Sus scrofa: one gene and its partner. The protein of the gene in region 1 interacts with the protein of each later gene in a biochemical or structural test. Links are inferred from orthologs where the notes say so. Each region holds a gene or a part of one and is shown in the gene's direction. Other genes may lie near its edges. The genes, in order: MSN and SPN.

The links.
Region 2: the proteins of MSN (region 1) and SPN form a complex in vitro, tested with the Homo sapiens proteins (2 studies listed by BioGRID). The link is inferred for Sus scrofa from reciprocal best matches to the Homo sapiens genes MSN and SPN.

Annotation. Positions count from the first base shown.
Region 1 is NC_010461.5:51,956,373-51,965,126, forward strand, and holds part of MSN (moesin), read left to right. Parts: intron 1-97; coding exon 98-244; intron 245-1,257; coding exon 1,258-1,354; intron 1,355-3,240; coding exon 3,241-3,404; intron 3,405-5,809; coding exon 5,810-5,940; intron 5,941-6,198; coding exon 6,199-6,359; intron 6,360-7,941; coding exon 7,942-8,034; intron 8,035-8,278; coding exon 8,279-8,503; intron 8,504-8,754. UniProt on the Homo sapiens protein: Ezrin-radixin-moesin (ERM) family protein that connects the actin cytoskeleton to the plasma membrane and thereby regulates the structure and function of specific domains of the cell cortex.
Region 2 is NC_010445.4:17,975,126-17,984,503, forward strand, and holds SPN (leukosialin), read left to right. Parts: upstream 1-3,605; 5' UTR 3,606-3,620; coding exon 3,621-3,736; intron 3,737-4,134; coding exon 4,135-5,410; 3' UTR 5,411-7,097; downstream 7,098-9,378. UniProt on the Homo sapiens protein: Predominant cell surface sialoprotein of leukocytes which regulates multiple T-cell functions, including T-cell activation, proliferation, differentiation, trafficking and migration.

The DNA of each region.
Region 1 (8,754 bases):
CTTGTTGGGCGTACAGAACAAGTAGGCTTTCTATCTCCCTGGGTCTAATTCATAGTCTTCCCTTGATAACAGCCCCCACCCCCACTTTGTTGTTTAGGGAGGATGCTGTCTTGGAGTATCTGAAGATTGCTCAGGATCTGGAGATGTATGGTGTGAACTACTTCAGCATCAAGAACAAGAAAGGCTCAGAGCTGTGGCTGGGGGTGGATGCCCTGGGTCTCAACATCTATGAACAGAATGACAGGTATAGCTCATAGTTCTCTTAAGTTTTGTGGGGCACTTTGACACCAAGGGCTTACCATAGTGTAGCATTGTACTTCCTGGGTCCCACTTGTGTAGTTCTTTTTCTACCTAGGTTAGATTAGCTCAGATGATGGCACAACCTCCCTCAAGCGTCTAAATCTTTTACTGACTAGATTTGTACTGTCCGCTATGGTAGCTTCTATTGAGCACTTGAAACATGGCTGCTTTGAATTGAGATGTGCTATAAAGTGTAAACTACACTGGCCTTTGAAGACAGTATGAAAAATAGAATGTAAAATGTCTCATTAATATTTTTAAAATATTGATTTACACATTCAAATGTAGTATTTTAGGTATACTAGGCTAAATGAACTGTTATTATAGTTAACTCCACCTATTTCTTTTTACTTATTTTCACTAGGCTACTAGAAAACTTAAAATTACATATGTGGCTCTCATTATATTTTTTTTTGGTTAGCTCTAGAACCTACCTTATCAGGATTTGTAATTAACCTCATTTCCATATGGTTATTAAGTGTCATTTGGCCATATAATCCCTCTCACTAAAGCCTTCTCTCACTTGCTTATTTTTTCTCATTGGTCTGCTGCTTGATGAGGATGGAGATCAATAGATTATTGTTCTGTGTAAATTACGAATCTGAAACTCATCGTTTACCTTTGCCCAACCTTTACAACCTTGAGTAGAAGAGTTCCAGTTAAGTCGGGCTGGGGATTCTTATGAGAGATTGCTGCAAGGTCCATACCTTAACAAAGAGTACAATAAAACAAGTCTCAGCCATTGGAACAAGGGACATGTTCATTGTGCTATCAGGAAGTCCTTTGTGTACCCACAATGCTGGCAACTGACCTGGTGGCATGTGATGACACAGGCTGAGCTAGCAATGAATATGTCTCCTTAAGGGAGAAGTTGGAGGTGGGGAGGGCAAGGCACCAACCCTCTCTATCCTTTTTGTCTTGCCCTTGTCCTTATGTTCTTGATCTCCATTTCTACAGACTGACTCCTAAGATAGGCTTCCCTTGGAGTGAAATCAGGAACATCTCTTTCAATGACAAGAAATTTGTCATCAAGCCCATTGACAAAAAAGCCCCGGTAAGTTACTCCTCCCACTGGCCAAGACAGGTACCTGCCAAGTCCTGGATAATGCTAGAAGCAATAATGTCATTCTGTTTTTATCTCTCTTTTCTGACTTTTGGTTATGGGTGGGAATAGAAGACACAAAAGGTGATGACGGTGAAAGGGGATGTTGATGCCAAGAAATGTAAGTGATACTATCCTGCTACCTGTGTTTCAGGAGAAGAATCATGAATGAGGGAGAGATCTATAGGCAGTCTAAGTACTGCCTCTTAGCCATTGTCTTTTTTTCTGCCCTGAGGCTCTGACATAGAAACAGAGAATATATCTTATCTTTTAAAGCCTCTAGGCCCTAGAAAGTAGAAACTGCTTAGGTACTTGATTTATCTTCAGTTGTGGAGAAGTCCAGATCTGAAGATGATCCTCCAGATGGTTTTTTTTTGTTGTTGTTATTATAACTTTGCTGCTGTCCTCTCAAGACTTCTCTCTAGAGCAATCCAAAAACAAGAAAGTGCTTTGGGTCCAGTCATTCCTCTAACATGCTTGTCATACCTGTCACCTACTCAGTTCCTGTGGCTGATAAGACTGGAAGGCTGGTGATTATAAATAGGATAGAAAACTGAGATGAAAGTTTCCTCTTTTTTTTTTCATTGTTGCATATTGTATTTTATTTGTTTTTTATTTATTTATTTTTTTTCCACTGTACAGCATGGGGACCAAGTTACACATACATGTATACATACTTTTTCCTCCCATTGTTGTGTTTCAATGTAAGTATCTAGACATAGTTCTCAATGCTACACAGCAAGATCTCATTGTAAATCCATTCCAAGAGCAATAGGTTTCCTCTTTTGATGTACCTCATGTCCAACAAGGGCCAATGACCATGTTGAACCAGACTCTTCTCGTGAGGCTTCAGCCTTTCTTCTCCAGCTCTGAGGTCTCTGAACTTGCTCTGCTAGGCACTTTCTATATGTTGTCTCCTTAAACCCTTGATGACATTGTCTGGTAGGTAGTAACATACTTACTTTATAAGTGATGACCTTGAGTTTCGGAGGGATGGAGTGATTTGCCCAATATCACAAAGCTTAAAATGATAGACCTGAGATTTATATCAAGGTCATTTGACATCTAGAGCTTGTGCTCCTTCCATTGCACCTCAAGCGATGTGAGACAGTAGCAGTTTGGGTTCAGTGGCAAAGGAGCTGGTGGTTAGCCCATCTTCTGGTGACACTGGTCCAGTGGTATTTATAGTAAACTCAAACTCAATGGATTTTCTTGTGTGTGTGTGTGTTTTTTTTTTTTTTTTCTCTGCTGCTATGCTCAACTTTCATCAGAGAAAGGTAAGTAACAAAGCCAGCTGAGATCAAGGGCTTATTTTAAAAAATAGCAACCAGGATAATTGATGTTCAGAAGATTTACATATTCATGTATATATTTACAACCTGCCAAACAGGATTTACGGACTAGGTCTAGGATATGTTTTTAGGAGATTATAGAACCAGTCCAGCCCATCCGTATCACATTCACCAGGGTATTGTGCAGGAATTCTTAGGCCTTAAGAGAGACCCCTGAGACCCAGAAGGATATCTAATTAGCAGGTAAAGTCAGTTTATATCATCTGGATTGAGGGTATTTTAGGATTCTTTTCATAAGCAGAGATTGAAAGTATTTGTGGCTTGGTGGAAAGAGCACTAGTTTCAGAGTCAAGAAACCTGAGTTCTAGTCCTGGGTCTGCCACTAATCTGCAATCTGACCCTGGGCAAGTCACTTCACCACTCTGATAATTAGTCTTCCCATCTATAACATGATTTTCCAGTGCTTTTGGACTTAGCTTTTCAGAAGGCAGAAGCCCAGCTTCAACTATCCCTCTAAACTTTTTCTGACTGATGGTTTTCCATCAGGACTTTGTCTTCTATGCTCCTCGGCTGCGAATTAACAAGCGAATCTTGGCTCTCTGCATGGGGAACCATGAGTTATACATGCGCCGCCGCAAGCCTGACACCATTGAGGTGCAGCAGATGAAGGCACAGGCCCGGGAGGAGAAGCACCAGAAGCAGATGGAGCGGTAGGTATTGTGGTACTGAAGTAGGGGCTGGGACTATGACAAAGAAGCCTCTCAAGGTGCTAAGCCTGCTTAAGGCAGGGTATGAAGCTATCCTGTTCTAGAGGAGAGAGAACTGTACAGGGATGACACCTCCTCCATTAAGTCTCAGGCATCACCATCCCCAGGAAGCAGACATTAAAACCCTAGGATTTCAGAGAGGAGCATTTCATAATTCCCCATTATCTATGACCCTCATGCCACTGTTCTTCTAGGTGGACTCTGGGTTGCTCTGGGCTACCTTATCAGTATAGTAGCAGTAGCAGAAGGCTCCATGCACATTTAAACCTGAATTCTTTAGAGCTCTTTGAGTGAAATTGGACAGAGCCAGAATTTTCCCTACAAAACCCTTATGCACTGTAGCCCCTTGCTGCTCAAAGTGCATCAAGGGTCAGCAACATCAGCATAAACTTTGGAACTTTTTAGAAATGTAGTATCTGAGACCTACCCCAAACCTACTGATTCAAAATCTGCATCTTAAGATCCTAGTCGGCCATTTCTTCAAAGAAGATATGCAAATACCCAGCAGGCACATGAAAACACCCTTAGTCATTAGGGAAATGCAAATTAAAACCATAGTAAGGTACCACTTCGTATTCACTAATATGGATATAATAAATGAAAACAAAAAATAACAACTGTTAGCAAGGGTGTGGAGAAATTAAAACTCATTTTCATCACTATTGGGAATGTAAAATGGTTCAGCTGCTATAGAAAGTTAAGTGTAGAATTACTATATAATTCCACAATTCTACTCCTAGATATATACTGAAAATAATTGAAAACAGGTGTTCAAACATGCACATGCACACACATATTCATAGCAGTGTGATTCCCAATAGCCAAAAGATGGAAATGGTCCAAATGTCCATCAGTGAGTGAATGGACAAATAAACTGTGCAGCTATCCAATGGAATATATTATTCAGCCATTAAAAAGAATGAAGTACTGATACATACTAAAAGTAGTAAATCTCTAAAACCTTATACTAAGTGAAATAAACCATACACAAAAAATCACATATTGTATTATTTCATTTATATGAAATATCCAGAATAGACAAATTTGTAGAGACAGAAGGCAGATTTGTGGTTGTCAGGGGTTGGGGGAGGGGAGATGTGGAGAAACTGCTTAATGGGCATGGGGTTTTACTTTGCAGTGATGAAAGTGTTTTAGAACTAATAGAGGTGTGGCTATACAACATTGTGAATGTATTAAATCTCTGAATTATTTTCTTTAAAATGGCTAATTTTATATTACACAAATTTCGACTCTAAGTTATTTAAAAAATAAGATCCCAGATGATCCCTGTGCATGTTAAGGTTTAAGAGCACTATTCTAGTAGGTTCTTTGTCATAAAGAGTTTGGAACCTCAGGAGGCTTTTAGTCTAGTAGACTGGAAAATGATTCCATGTATGTGAGGTTAGACACCGGGATTCACATTTATTCAGGAAAAAAATGAGATTGGGGGAAGTTTATAAAACTGGATCTGGCAGGAACTTATCCTCAAGGACCTTACAGTCTAGTAGGAGAAAGGGGAAAAAAGAGTATATATGTAACTGTTCAAGGTATAAATGCTACATCATTTATTCACTCAATGAATATTTAAACAATGAAAAAACAGACAAAAATTTCTGCTCCCATGAAGCTGTCATTCTAATGGGAAGAGACAGATCAAATAAGCATATTATACACTTTGTGACATGATGAGAAGTACTATGGATAAAAAAATAATAGTGGGGAGGGATATGGAGAAAGATAGGTCATGATTCTGAGTATTCAGAAAGAGAAAAGACATCTAGCCAAGGGAGAGAATAAGGCCTCCAAGAAGAGGTGCTGGGGCAAGAAAAACCAAGTACTTATTCTAGATTTACAACAAATTTTGTGGAAAAGGAGCCTAGAGATGGGCTTCAGAGTACAGGCAGAGGACTGCTGTCCTAGCCATAGAGATCACCAGACTTGAAGCAAAGTATCCAAACACAGAGCCCAAACTTGTCTACTTTTAATTCCATGAGTTAAACAGGGCAAGACTTATTAGGACATTTTATAAATAGAGGTACTGAGAATAAGCGCAAAGAATTGAAGTTGCTAAAGTTAGCCACTGGTTATCTACTGGGTGGCAGAGCTGAGGGTCCAGGTTGGATCTTCTGATTTGGGGACAAACTGACAGGGCCCTGAGCATACTGGCCCCTGTAGGGCTATGATGTGAGGGCAAGGATGTAGAGAGAAAGGAGAGCAGTCTTGCCTCTCAAGCCCTGAGTGTATTGGAAAAGTGGGGACTGAAGGGCCAGGGCCAGGGAGCCTTGAGTATGCCAAAGCTTCCTTGTGGCCTTACTATCCTGTTCCATCCCTTTTTCCTTCTTTCATAGTGCTCTGCTGGAAAATGAGAAGAAGAAACGTGAGATGGCAGAAAAGGAAAAAGAGAAGATTGAACGGGAAAAGGAGGAACTGATGGAGAGGCTGAAGCAGATTGAGGAACAGACTAAGAAGGCTCAGCAAGGTGAGGCTTGGAGTCACCTTGGAGACTGGGTTTTCCCAGAGTCCGAGTCTATGAGCTAGAAGCCCTGTCTGAGATACAGACAGACCCAGACCATATATTCCAGATGTGGCTAGAGAATAGAGGGAGGATGGGGCAAGAGGAAGAGTACCTAGAGCTTTCTTCCAGCTGTGCCCTGGTGTGAAGCATTCCTAGGAAGGAAGCTAGCTGTCCTTTCTTGATCTCTGTACTCTTCACCACCATTCCCTCTCCTCTTCCCAGAACTGGAAGAACAGACCCGCAGGGCCCTGGAACTTGAACAGGAACGGAAGCGTGCCCAGAGTGAGGCTGAAAAACTGGCCAAAGAGCGTCAGGAAGCTGAAGAAGCCAAGGAGGCCCTGTTGAAGGCCTCCCGGGACCAGAAGAAGACCCAGGAACAGCTGGTAAAGCTACAAAATGGGCTGAGATTATAGGACATGTGTTTTCTCTGTTTGCCTATCACAGCTACCTCTGCTTGTGGGACTGGCTTTTTCCAACAGAGTACCTCTCTGCAGGCTTCCAGCAGATAGCTCCTTCAGAAGCAAGCTGAGAAGTCACTTTGAAAACAGTCTACCCTAACCCTTACTTTTATTCTACTTTCTTAGCAATTGGGAAATCTGAGCTGATGACCTGACAGAGGAGAGAGGGAAGAAGTAAAGGGATTCACACTTGATTGTCTAGCTGTGTGTGTTATAAGCTATACTAGCAACTTTTTCCTTTTCCTTACTTTCTCATTTCCTCTTCCTAAACAACCCTATGCTATTAACCCATATGGGATAATATGCCTGGATAAAGAAATTCAGGCTCAGATAGGTTGAAGAGATCTGTCGAAGGTCACACTATTTTGACTAAGTAAGGATGACAACTCATTTCTGCCTTTGTTCTTTTTTTTTTTTGTATTTTACATACATGTGACTAATTTATTATATAACTGGAGTTTGTATGTCTTAATCCCCTTGACATATTTCACTCATCCTTCACCCACTTCCCCTCTGGCAACTATCAGAGCCATGGCTGCTGGCCTATGCCACAGCCACAGCAATGCAAGATCTGAGCTGCATCTGTGACCTACACTGCAGTTCACAGCAACACCAGATCCTTAACCCACTGAGTGAGGCCAGGGATTGAACCCTCTTCCTCATGGGTACTAGTTGGATTCGTTACCACTGAGCCACAAAAGAACTCCGCATTTCTGCCTTTCTTTTAAGGGTTTGCTTCCTCAAATCATATGTAAAACTATGTGTCTATACATTTTACAGGGGAGGAGGGTAATCATCTATACTTTTATCACAATTTCCAAGGGTTCTGTGACTCAGAGATTAAGACCCTGTGGCCCAAATTCATTGACATATGCTTTTCTCCTGTACTTTTTGGAGTCAGAGTGCAAGAAACTAAGCCCTAATTCTCAGGGGAAGACTTTGGAAGATTTTCCCAAGGTGTGAGAATGTGCGAAGCTTTATTCCCCTGTTCAAATTACTTTGTGACACTTGAGTATCATTCCTATACTTGTCCTGGGAAGAGTCTTAGTGTAGCCCTGATCACTGTAAGGTAACAGGAAAGGGTCTTCCACTTCAGGCAGCAACCCAGTGATCTTCAAAGCTTTACTGAGGCCCTAACTGTGCAGTGGGTAATACTAAGAAAGTGGAGGTGGGGGAGGGGGAGATACATATATCAAGAAAGAGGGAGAGGGAGAAGGAGAGATAAGGAAGAGGGAGAGATGAGGAAGAATCACAGATGTCATGTTTGCCTTCAGGTCTGTAGTCTAGGTGGGGAGGAAATAATTTGGAGTTAATAGGGTGTTGTAGTAGATCTGAGAATGAGTGTTCCTCTGGGCCTCCTAGAGGAGGTTTGGTACAAAAAGCCCCCAGAACAGCAAGCAAGTGGAGAAGCAGATTCCCTGTTAGTTTGCAGGGCAGCTGGGGTTTAAGATACCTGGCCCTGAGGACTAGAAGGCCCACCTCTCATAAGCTTTCAATTTATCCATAGGCCTTGGAAATGGCCGAGCTGACAGCTCGGATCTCCCAGCTGGAGATGGCCCGACAGAAGAAGGAGAGTGAGGCTGCGGAATGGCAGCAGAAGGTAAGATACAGTGCCCAGGGTAAAGCAGTGTGGGACGGGGTACCATATGCATAAGTTCCAGTACCCTGGGGAAATTGGTACAGTTACTCCTATTATAGAGCCAAGGAGACTCAGGATCAGGTAGACAAAGTGACTTGGCCTACCTGGTGTCTGCTTCCTGCTGGACAATTCTAGGCACATGTAGGGATGCTGAAAATTAGCCTGGTGTGACTGCCAGTCCTTTTCTTCCTCTGTTATTGGACAGGCTCAGATGGTACAAGAAGACTTGGAGAAGACTCGTGCAGAGCTGAAGACTGCCATGAGCACGCCTCATGTGGCAGAGCCTGCTGAGAATGATCAGGATGAGCAGGATGAAAATGGGGCAGAGGCCAGTGCCGACTTGCGGGCTGATGCCATGGCCAAGGACCGCAGTGAGGAAGAACGCACCACTGAGGCAGAGAAGAATGAGCGTGTGCAGAAGCACCTAAAGGTACATAGGCAGAGCCAAAGGGTCATGGAGACCATGTGTATTGACTTAGTAGCCCATGGCCTTCTTTAGATCATCCTGGGCAGACGGGTAGAGGAGCCTGCTTCAGTGCTTTGTTGAGAGCTTTAAGGCCAGACCTCTCACTTATCAGTCAGACCCTGAACAACCTTTTTTTCCCCCATCCTCTACCCATACTCCATTTACATCTTATATTCATAAAAAATTTAGTTGACACAGAATATTTGATATATTGT
Region 2 (9,378 bases), on another chromosome or scaffold:
CCCTAATAAATAAATAGCCAGGCAGAGCCATATTGAGAAGCTAACATTTGGGCCATTTCAATATTTGGGTGTGAAGAGCCTTAGATGGCACAAAGACGCCAAGCCTCAGATTCTCCAGGGACCACCTGGAAGCCTGAGGGGCAGGAGGAGAGGGAACGGGGGCAGTAGGGAGGGGCAGATCAGGGTGGCCTTGCTGTCCATGGGCTTTTTCTCCGAGTGGAGTGAGAGGGAGCTGTGTCAGGGTTTAGAGCCGTCTCAGGGGAGGGATGTGACCAGATATTTGATCCTGGTTCCTCTGGCTTCTCTGTGGCTGAGAGCCCAAAGGCAATGAGGAAAGACAAGGCTTAGGTGCTTAGACAGGAGGTGGGGGCATGGGGGGGCACGGGGGGGTAGCAGTGAAGGTGGAAAAGAGTATTCAGATTCTGATTCTTTCTTTTCTTTTTTTCTTTTTTGTCTTTTTAGGGCTGCACCCACAGCATATGGAGGTTCCTAGGCTAGGGGTCCAATTGGAGTTACAGCTACCGGCCTACACCACAGCCACAGCAACTCGGGATCCGAGCCTCGTCTTCGACCTATACCACAGCTCAAGGCAATGCCTGATTCTTAATCCACTGAGCGATGCCAGGGATCGAACCCACATCCTCACGGATGCTAGCTAAGATGGGAACTCCCTTTGCTCACTTTCTATGTTGTGAGCCACACAGTGGGAAGTCCCCTCTGCTCACTTTTTAAAACAATTTTTTTTTTTCTTTTTTGACCGCCCCTCAGTATCCGGAGTTCCTGGGCCAGGGATCAGATCTGAGCCAAAGTTGTGACTTAAGCTACAGCTGTGATAATGCCAGATCCTTAACCCACTGTGCTGGGTTGAGGGTCCAACCTTCATCCCAGCGCTCTCAAGACACTGTGGATCCGTTGTACCACAGCTGGAACTCCAGATTTTTTTTTTTTCTTTTTTTTGTCCTTTTAGGGCAACACCTTTGGCATATGGAAGTTCTCAGGCCAGGGTTCAAGTCAGAGCTGCAGCTGCAGCTGCAGCCTAAGCCACAGCCCAGTGACGGCAACACTGGATCCAAACCACATCTGTGAACTATATCGCAGCTTGTGGCAATGCCAGATCCTTAACCCACTGAGCAAGGGCAGAAATCAAATCTGCATTCTCACAAGACAGCGTCAGGTCCTTGACCCCCTGAGCCATGATGGGAACTCCCCACTTCAGTGATCTTTTTTTTTTAAAGGTTGAGAAATTGGGTATCTTTACGCAGTCTTACAACATTTTTGTTTATTTTTTTGAATTAAAAAAATTTATGTTGGACTTCCCGTTGTGGCTCAGTGGTAACAAACCCGACTAGTATCCATGAGGACGCAGGTTCAATTCCTGGCCTTGTTCAGTGGGTTAAGGATCTGGCATTGCCATGAGCTGTGGTGTAGGTCACAGATGCGGCTTGGATCTGGTGTTGCTGTGGCTGTGGCAGAGGCTGGGAGCTGCAGCTGCAGCTGCAATTCAACCCCTAACCTGGGAACTTCCATATCCCGCAGACACGTCCCTAAAAAGACAACAACAAAAATCCATTTAGGAGTTCGATGGTGGCTCAGTGGGTTAAGGATCCAGTGTTGTCACTGCTGTGTCTCAGGTTGCTGCATGGGTTCGACTGCTGGCCTGGAACTTTTGCATGCTACTTGTGCAGCCAAAAAAAAATTTTTTTTAAACCTCCAATTACTTTGCAGCCAATTACTTCTATGTTTCTTTCTTTCTCTCTTTCTTTCTTTTCTTTCTTTTGGTCTTTTTGTCTTTTTAGGGTAGCACCCACTGCATATGGAGGTTCCCAGGCAAGGGGTCCAATCGGAGCTGTAGCCACAGCAACGCAGGATCTGAGCCACATCTACGACCTACACCACAGCTCACGGCAATGCCGGATCCTTAACCCACTGAGCGAGGCCAGAGATCAAACCCGTGTCCTCATGGATGTTAGTCAGGTTCCTTAACCACCGAGGCACAACGGAAACCCCTACTCCTACATTTCTGTTTGCAGGAGCAAAATGTTGAAACAACGTAATGTCTGACAATGGAAAGGTTTCCTCCCTCCCTCCCTTCTCTCCTTCCTTCCTTCTTTCCTATTGTTCCGTTTTTTTAAAAAAAAAGTGTGGAGCAGTATGCATGATAAAACCTAATACTAGCCTATACATGTATATGAGAACAATGTCTAGTCACTTATGATGGAGCACGATGATGTGAGATAAAAGAATGTACACATGTACGTGTAACTGGATCACCGTGCTGTACAGTAGAAAAAAAATAATAACGTATTGGGGAAAAAAAAGAATATGCCTGTGTATATGCATCCAGACTTATCGTTACTAGGGCATAGCTGGCGGTGGTGGTAGAGGAGCTTTGTCACTTTTCAATTCCTGCCTGTTGGGAAAGCCAATCCACCGCAGCCCTGAGCAGCCCTGCACACTCCTGCTCCTCTGCCAGCAAGGCACGGTCCCAGATGCTCTCTATTCAGGGGGTTGCTCAAGATTGTGTTCGCAGTGAGTAACTCTGAGGATGAAGTAACGTCTCCTTTTGGGACAAAGAGCAGGCTTGCTAACCACCTCCTCGAAAAGAGGAAAATTCTCCAAGCTCAGCTGCCGTGCAAACCCCTCGCCGTCACCCCTGTGGGACTCAGAGGCAAGAGGAACTGAAGCAGACACGGTGCTTCTGCTGCTTGCTTAGCCATGAGGCGCGGATGCCTGCGTCTCTGACCTAGGAATCGCACATCTTTGTCGGACTAACTCTTAGCTCATGAGTTCGGTTCGATCCCGGGCTGTGACATTGGCTTCTTTTAATCATCTCTCACGGACATGTATTATTACTTTTGTGACATAATCGGTTTTGATTTTTTTCGAGAAAGGCAGAATACAAAACAAAAAACCACACACGTACCGAAAGCCCAAGCTTACACGTTCAACGAAAGTGAGAAAAGAACAACTATCCAAGGCAGAAACTAAAGAACTCCCTACCCAGACGTACCCAAAGAAACGTGGTAATACCTCAGTAGATACCTTTCCAGACTGTCATCAGTGTTGACTCCCACATTTTTATTAGTCTTCTGCAAAAATAAGATCGTAGCGTATAGCGTGCTTAAGAACCACTTCGATTTAGTCAGGCATCCCATGACTGGGGGCCACTGTGGTGACACCAGCCCACTCCAGCTTCTCGAGAAGTCAAGAGCCCACCAGGATTTTCCTACAACCTGCGAAGGCTTTCACTGCCCCCAGCCAGAGGGAGGGAGTTCCTCGCACCCTGGTACTTCCTGGGAGCTCTTGGGGCAGAAAAAGTGCTAGCCTTGGGTCCTGGCCTAACAGCTTGGGGACCACAAATGCAAAGGAAACCACCTTCCCCTCCCAGCTCCTCCTCCGCACCCCCCATTCTCAACCACACAGTTCCACCCCTCCACCCACTCTCACCCCTATCCCAGCTTCACCCTCTGCTATCACATTTCCCAACTGAGAACGAGGAACCCCATTCCAGATCCCACCCACCATTCCCACCTGCCCCAGAGTCCCCCACCATCTCAGACCCTGAAAAAGCGATGCCTTGCTCATAGCCCGCCAATGTAGGAGCAGGAGGGTGGGGCAGGATGCTGGGGTGGGTGGAGCCAGGGCCATTTCCTTTCCCCCTGGGGCCCTGGCCACCAGTCTTGCCCCAGCTTCAAGAGGAGTTGGAGCAGCCTGGCCGCAACCTCGCCCTTATCAGGTGAGCTGGTAAGGGGTGTGATTTGGTGGAGCAGCAGCCCCAGTGCACCTGGGGATGTGCTTCTGGCTTGAAAAAGACCTTGATGGATAATGGAAAAGGAGACTGTGGAGCCACTGAGGCTGCCCACGGTTGGGACAGGTGGGGAGGGGGTGGCCTTTGCTGGAGCACAAGCTGCCAAGGCAGGCTGAGGGGACCTAGGGAGAGAGTTGATGGGGGAACCGCCAGCATCTTGTACTTTCTGATACGAGTACAAGCAGGGGTGGAAAAAGCCGTTGAACCGCAGAGTTCGGCCTGGCAGTTGGCAGGGAAGTGGGCAAGGGCGGGGAGAGGGCCTGGCTAGGTCCTCCCCCCACCCCAGGTTCTTATGTGTTCTCTTTCTCCGGTTTCCCCACCCTCAGGTCCCAACTCCTGCTCATGCCTGTCGCCTTGAAAATGATCCCGCTTTTCCTCTTCTTTGGGAGCGTCTGGGCCCCAGTGGCAAGCCTAGAGCTTCCAGAGAGCACGACTGCTTTGCAGATGTCTGAACCCGCAAGGTCCCCTTTTCCTTTGGTCTCTGTCTCTGGGACCCCCGAAATCAACTCAGAAGCATCCAGTCTTTCAACAACTGAGCTCCCTGAGGAAAGTAACAGCCCTGGGCATCAGATCTTCCTGCCTTCCTCAACTCCCTACCCAGCTGAAGAGGTGTCCTCCCCCGGGATTTCCATTGCTGCCAGCAGTGGCCTTCCTCTCCCCAGGTCAGTACTCTCCCAGGAAGTTTCCACCAACAGGAAATCCATGCTCCTGGAGATCTCTGATGCAGCCAATACACCTGCTGTCTCAGGAATGAGCTCCCTGGGGTTGCACACTGTGACTGGTAAAACCATGACCACCAGCTCTCTGGAGACCTCTGATGGGACCAGTGGACCTCCTGTCACCACGGCAACCAGCTCTCTGGAGACCTCTGATGGGACCAGTGGACCTCCTAATACCACGGCAACCAGCTCTCTGGTGGCCTCCAGTGGAACCACTGGACCCCCTGTCATCATGGCAACTAGGTCTTCGAAGACCTCCGTTGTGACCCGTGGACCCCCTGTCACCATTGAAACTGGCTTGCTAACGACTTCCAAGGGGACCAGTGGACCCCCTGTCACCAGGGAGACCTCTATGAAGACCACTGACCCCATCTTTGGGGTAGGAATATCCACCGTAGACACAAGCAGTAGCTCCCCCCAAAATTCAGGTCAGAGGACAAATGGCACCATGCTGGTAGCCGTGCTTGTGGCCCTGCTGGTGGTCATTGTCCTCGTGGTACTACTCCTGCTATGGCGCCAGCGGCAGAAGCGGAAGACAGGAGTCCTGACACTAAGCAGAGGTGGAAACCGCAATGGGGTCGTAGATGCCTGGGCTGGGCGAGCCCAGGTGTCCGATGAGGAGGCCATGTCACCAGAGGGAGCATCTGGGGGCAACAAGGACTCTGGGGCTCCCCAGGGGGAGGGGCCTGGCCAGCGACCCACGCTCACCACTTTCTTTGGGAAACGGAAGTCTCGCCAGGGCTCCTTGGCGCTGGAGGAGATAAAGGCTGGGTCAGCCGCCAAGCTGAAGGGTGAGGAGGAGCCGCTGGTGGGCAGCGAGGATGGGGCTGCGGACGCCTCTGCTTCTGATGGGCCAGAAGCCAGAGAGGCGGGGGCCGCTTAGGGCTTCATGACAAGGATGGAAGCCAGAGTCACTCCCTCTTTCATCACCCTCCCTCCTACCGTTACATCCAACTTCACTGTCACCCAGCTTTTTCACCCAGCACCCTTTGGATGTGCACGCAGCATCTTCACTCTGAGTCTTCATTCGGCTTCTTGGCCCTGGATCATCCCGCCAGCATCTGCACTCAGCACCTAGACCAGGGCTGGCACCCACTGAACGCCTGTAGACAGAATGAGCAAAGCTTGAATGAGCAAAGCTTCCTCGTGGACCTCACTGCTCCCCATCACAGTTTCTCTATGTTTTTGTCCTCGACCCCAGCTGAGTCTCCCTAATCCCAAACTTTTTGGACCTTGGATTTTTCAGAGGATGCTCCAGGGATCCCAGAGTCTGGGAAGATGACAGAAAAAGCAACCCAGGAAACTCCTCCTTAGGATGACTCTGGAAAGTACACTCGGCCCCACAGACTAGAACAGTTGACCCTTCTTTTGACTCTGCGCCCAGGAGCGCTGTGCCGGGCCAGCCTGGAACACGGGCTGGGTTGGTGTCATCGGGCTGCGCTCTCGGGTGCGTGTGTGACAGCCCCTGGACTCTAGGCTGGCCCACTGTCCAAGCCGCCACACTCTCCCTCACCTCTGGCCTGAGACAGCCAGAGGCTTCAGCTGTTTCCCCTCCCCCTCGGAGGTGAGAAGAATTTCAGGGCAGGTGTCATTCTTAGAAGTCTCAGCATCTGTGTGGGTCCCCGTATGAGGGCGGTTTGCGCGAGCGAGCGAGCGGGAGAGGCGAGGAATCCGTGATGTTTGTGAAGGGCGGGGGTGAGGACAGGGGCGGGGGTGGGGGCGAGGGCAGGAAGGGCTGCAGAGGCTGAGGAGATGCCACCCTTGTTGCTGCCGAGGCATAGGCGCCCTCATCTTTGCTCAGATTGGGCAGAGGTAGATTGAACTCCGCCTGTGGCCGGCCCTGAGGGGAAAGACCGCATGCGTGACGACTGAGTGTGGTTCCTCAGCTCAGCCACTCGGTCATCTCTTCCTCAAAGACCCCCCCCCCAGCCCCCGCACACACCCCCCCCCGGCCCCCGGCCCTGTTCCAACACTCGCAGGAGACCCAGGGCGGGTCTTGCTGATGCTGTTACAGGTTGGATGTGTTTGCATCTCCTCTTCCATCCTCCAAGGGAGTCAGTCAGAGTGAGACGTGACAGGCCCCCAGGGGATGGCCAGGAGGGGACAAAGCCTAACTGAGCCATCTCTCTGGGACCAGCCCAGGACAGAGCACCGGGCGCCTCCTGGACCGGAGGCCACGGACCAGAGGCTGTTGGTATTTCCCCAGGGCAAAGAGGAAATGTGCAAAGAGGAAGTTGTTGAGTCAGAGAGCAGACACATTGACCTGCAAAAGGAGCCGCCAAGGGCCGCGTGTGAGTGTGCCGGCCAGGTGGCCTGGAATGGAAGGGACATGGGGAGACAGGGAAAGGGCCTGGGGGGGGGGTTCCCGTTCACGGGGTGGGGGAGGAGAGGGATGGGGAGAGAAGGAGCGGAAAGTGGCCACGGATCTGCCAGGAGTTGGGCCACCTCTGCCCGGTCTGTGGGGGACGGGCTGATAGGGTAAGAGTGATTTTTACTTTATTCACCCTCTTCTGTAGTATCCAAATTTTATATATCCATTCCTTTTACAATAAAAAAAAAAAACAAAGGAACAAAAAGGTGTTCACTGGTGGGTGGGGTGTCGGGTTTGAGGAAGCTGGAAGGAAGGTTAGAGCCACGCCGTGAAGGGCCCCACTCTCTCCTCTGGCCTCCGTCCCCAGGTGCCTGGTCCAGCTGATTCTCCCTGCATGGTCCCTGGGAGCCCTCTCGTCTCTCTAGGCCCCCATCCCGCCTGGCCTGGGTCCTGCTGAGACTGCCCTTTCGCTTTCCTGACCCCTGACCCTTCCACCCTTCGCCTGTGTTGGTCCCAATGACCCGTGTAAAAGGCTACTCTGTCCAGATGAACTATGCACCCCCTAAGGCTGTCAGGGGGCGCCCATCTTCCTTAGCATGGAGTATAATACCCCTTCAAGATCTGGCCCTGGAGTTCCTGTTGTGGCTCAGTGGGTTAAGAAGCTGACTGGTATCCCTGAGGAGGGTCGGATCCCTGGCCTCACTCAGTGGGTTAAGGACCCGGCATTGCTGTGAGCTGTAGCATAGGTCACAGATGCAGCTTGGATCCTGCGTTCTTGTGGCTGTGGCGTAGGCCTGCAGGTGTAGCTCCGATTGGACCCCTAGCCTGGGAACCTCCATATGCCGCGGGTGCAGCCTTAAAAAGGAAAAAAAAAATTTTTTAATAAAATACTAATTTTATCCAAATAGTAAAATCACATTTTTTCCTCTTTTGCCAATGTTAATTGCCAGCACATTCTCGTCTCTCTTACACACACAACCATATGCAGCATATCATTCTTCATCTTATATTTTAAAATGCATGTTTCCATTTGACTTTCAAAGTGCACATTACGCTCATGGTTACAAATATAGCTCTGTCATCCCAAATGCAAATTCCAGATGGAAGAAGATTTTGGATGGGGAAATTTTTGAGAAATCTATTTATTCACTTTGCAGCTAGGAAAGGGGCTGCAAAGCCTGGATCCAAGGACATTCCATTTCTGAAAATGGACATTTATACCTCATTTTCCTCTACATCCCTATTTCTGCCCCTGTTCTGGGGAGGTTTGGGGTTGAGGCATTAGCCATCAGAAACCCCGGGGTACAGCTTCAGCTTATGTGGAGACTGCAGCTTGGATCTGCTCCCAGGCTGGGGAGCTCCAGGTGCTGAGGGGTAGCCGAAAATGAAAAAGAAAAGAAAAGAAAAAGAAACCCAGGGTACTTTGTAGACCATCTATTTGTCCCCAGCAGTGAGCTGCCAATGGGTGCTTGTGTGCCTTAGTCCCCTGGGATGCTCAGCACCTGCCTGCCCAGTGAGGGGCGTCATGACAGCCTAGCCGGACCATGAACTGCCGGCCAGTGAGGGCGCTGCGTACTCACCCTTGGGTCTGCGCATGCCTGAAGCCAGCCCACTGCCCTCTCGACTCACCACGTACACATCTGGACTTCCCGCCAAACTCCTCCCCCACTGTCAAAATGCAGCTCCAATGTCCCTGCCTTTTTGATGCTGCCTTTGCTGCCTCCATCTCAAACAGATATGGTGGTCTTTCTCCTACTCTCCTACAGCGCCTGCTGTGACAGCAGGAACAACTGGAATCACGTGATGATGTCTCTCATTCATTAGAGTGTAGCGCCACCAAGTACACATGTCATCTTTGTGGCTCCAAGTCCAGAGCCTGGCATGTCTACCTACTGTGTGTTTACTGACTGGAGGGGTAAATGAATTACCACGCAAACAAATGATGGTTTTCAAGTAAACGTATGGAGGGATCAAGTCTGTTTTTTGAATGAAACTGGGCTCCAGGAGGATGGCCCGAAGGCCGTGTGGCCCCAGATGAGAACAGTAGTCTAGTTCCAGTTCGATGTGGTGGGAGTCTGGCCTAAGGCGAAAGAAGGGGTCAGGTTTGAAATATATTTATTCAGAGAATAAAAATTTTAGAACTAATTGACTGTTGAGGTGGGGGGGGGAGAATGAGGTTAGACTCCAGGGTTTCTATCTAGGGAGGCTGAGGAGATGCTGATATCATTATGTGGAAATCCAGAGAGATGAGCAGTTTTAGGGGAAAACGTGAGTTCATTTTTAGAACTGTGAGGAGGGACATTAGAAGTAGAGACTGGGGGAGTTCCTGTCCTGGCGCAGTGGTTAACAAATCCGACTAGGAACCATGAGGTTGCAGGTTCGATCCCTGCCCTTGCTCAGTGGGTTAAGGATCCGGCGTTGCTATGAGCTGTGGTGTAGGTCGCAGATGCGGCTCAGATCCCGTGTTGCTGTGGCTCTGGCATAGGCTGGTGGCTACAGCTCCAATTCGACCCCTAGCCTGGGAACCTCCATATGCCGCG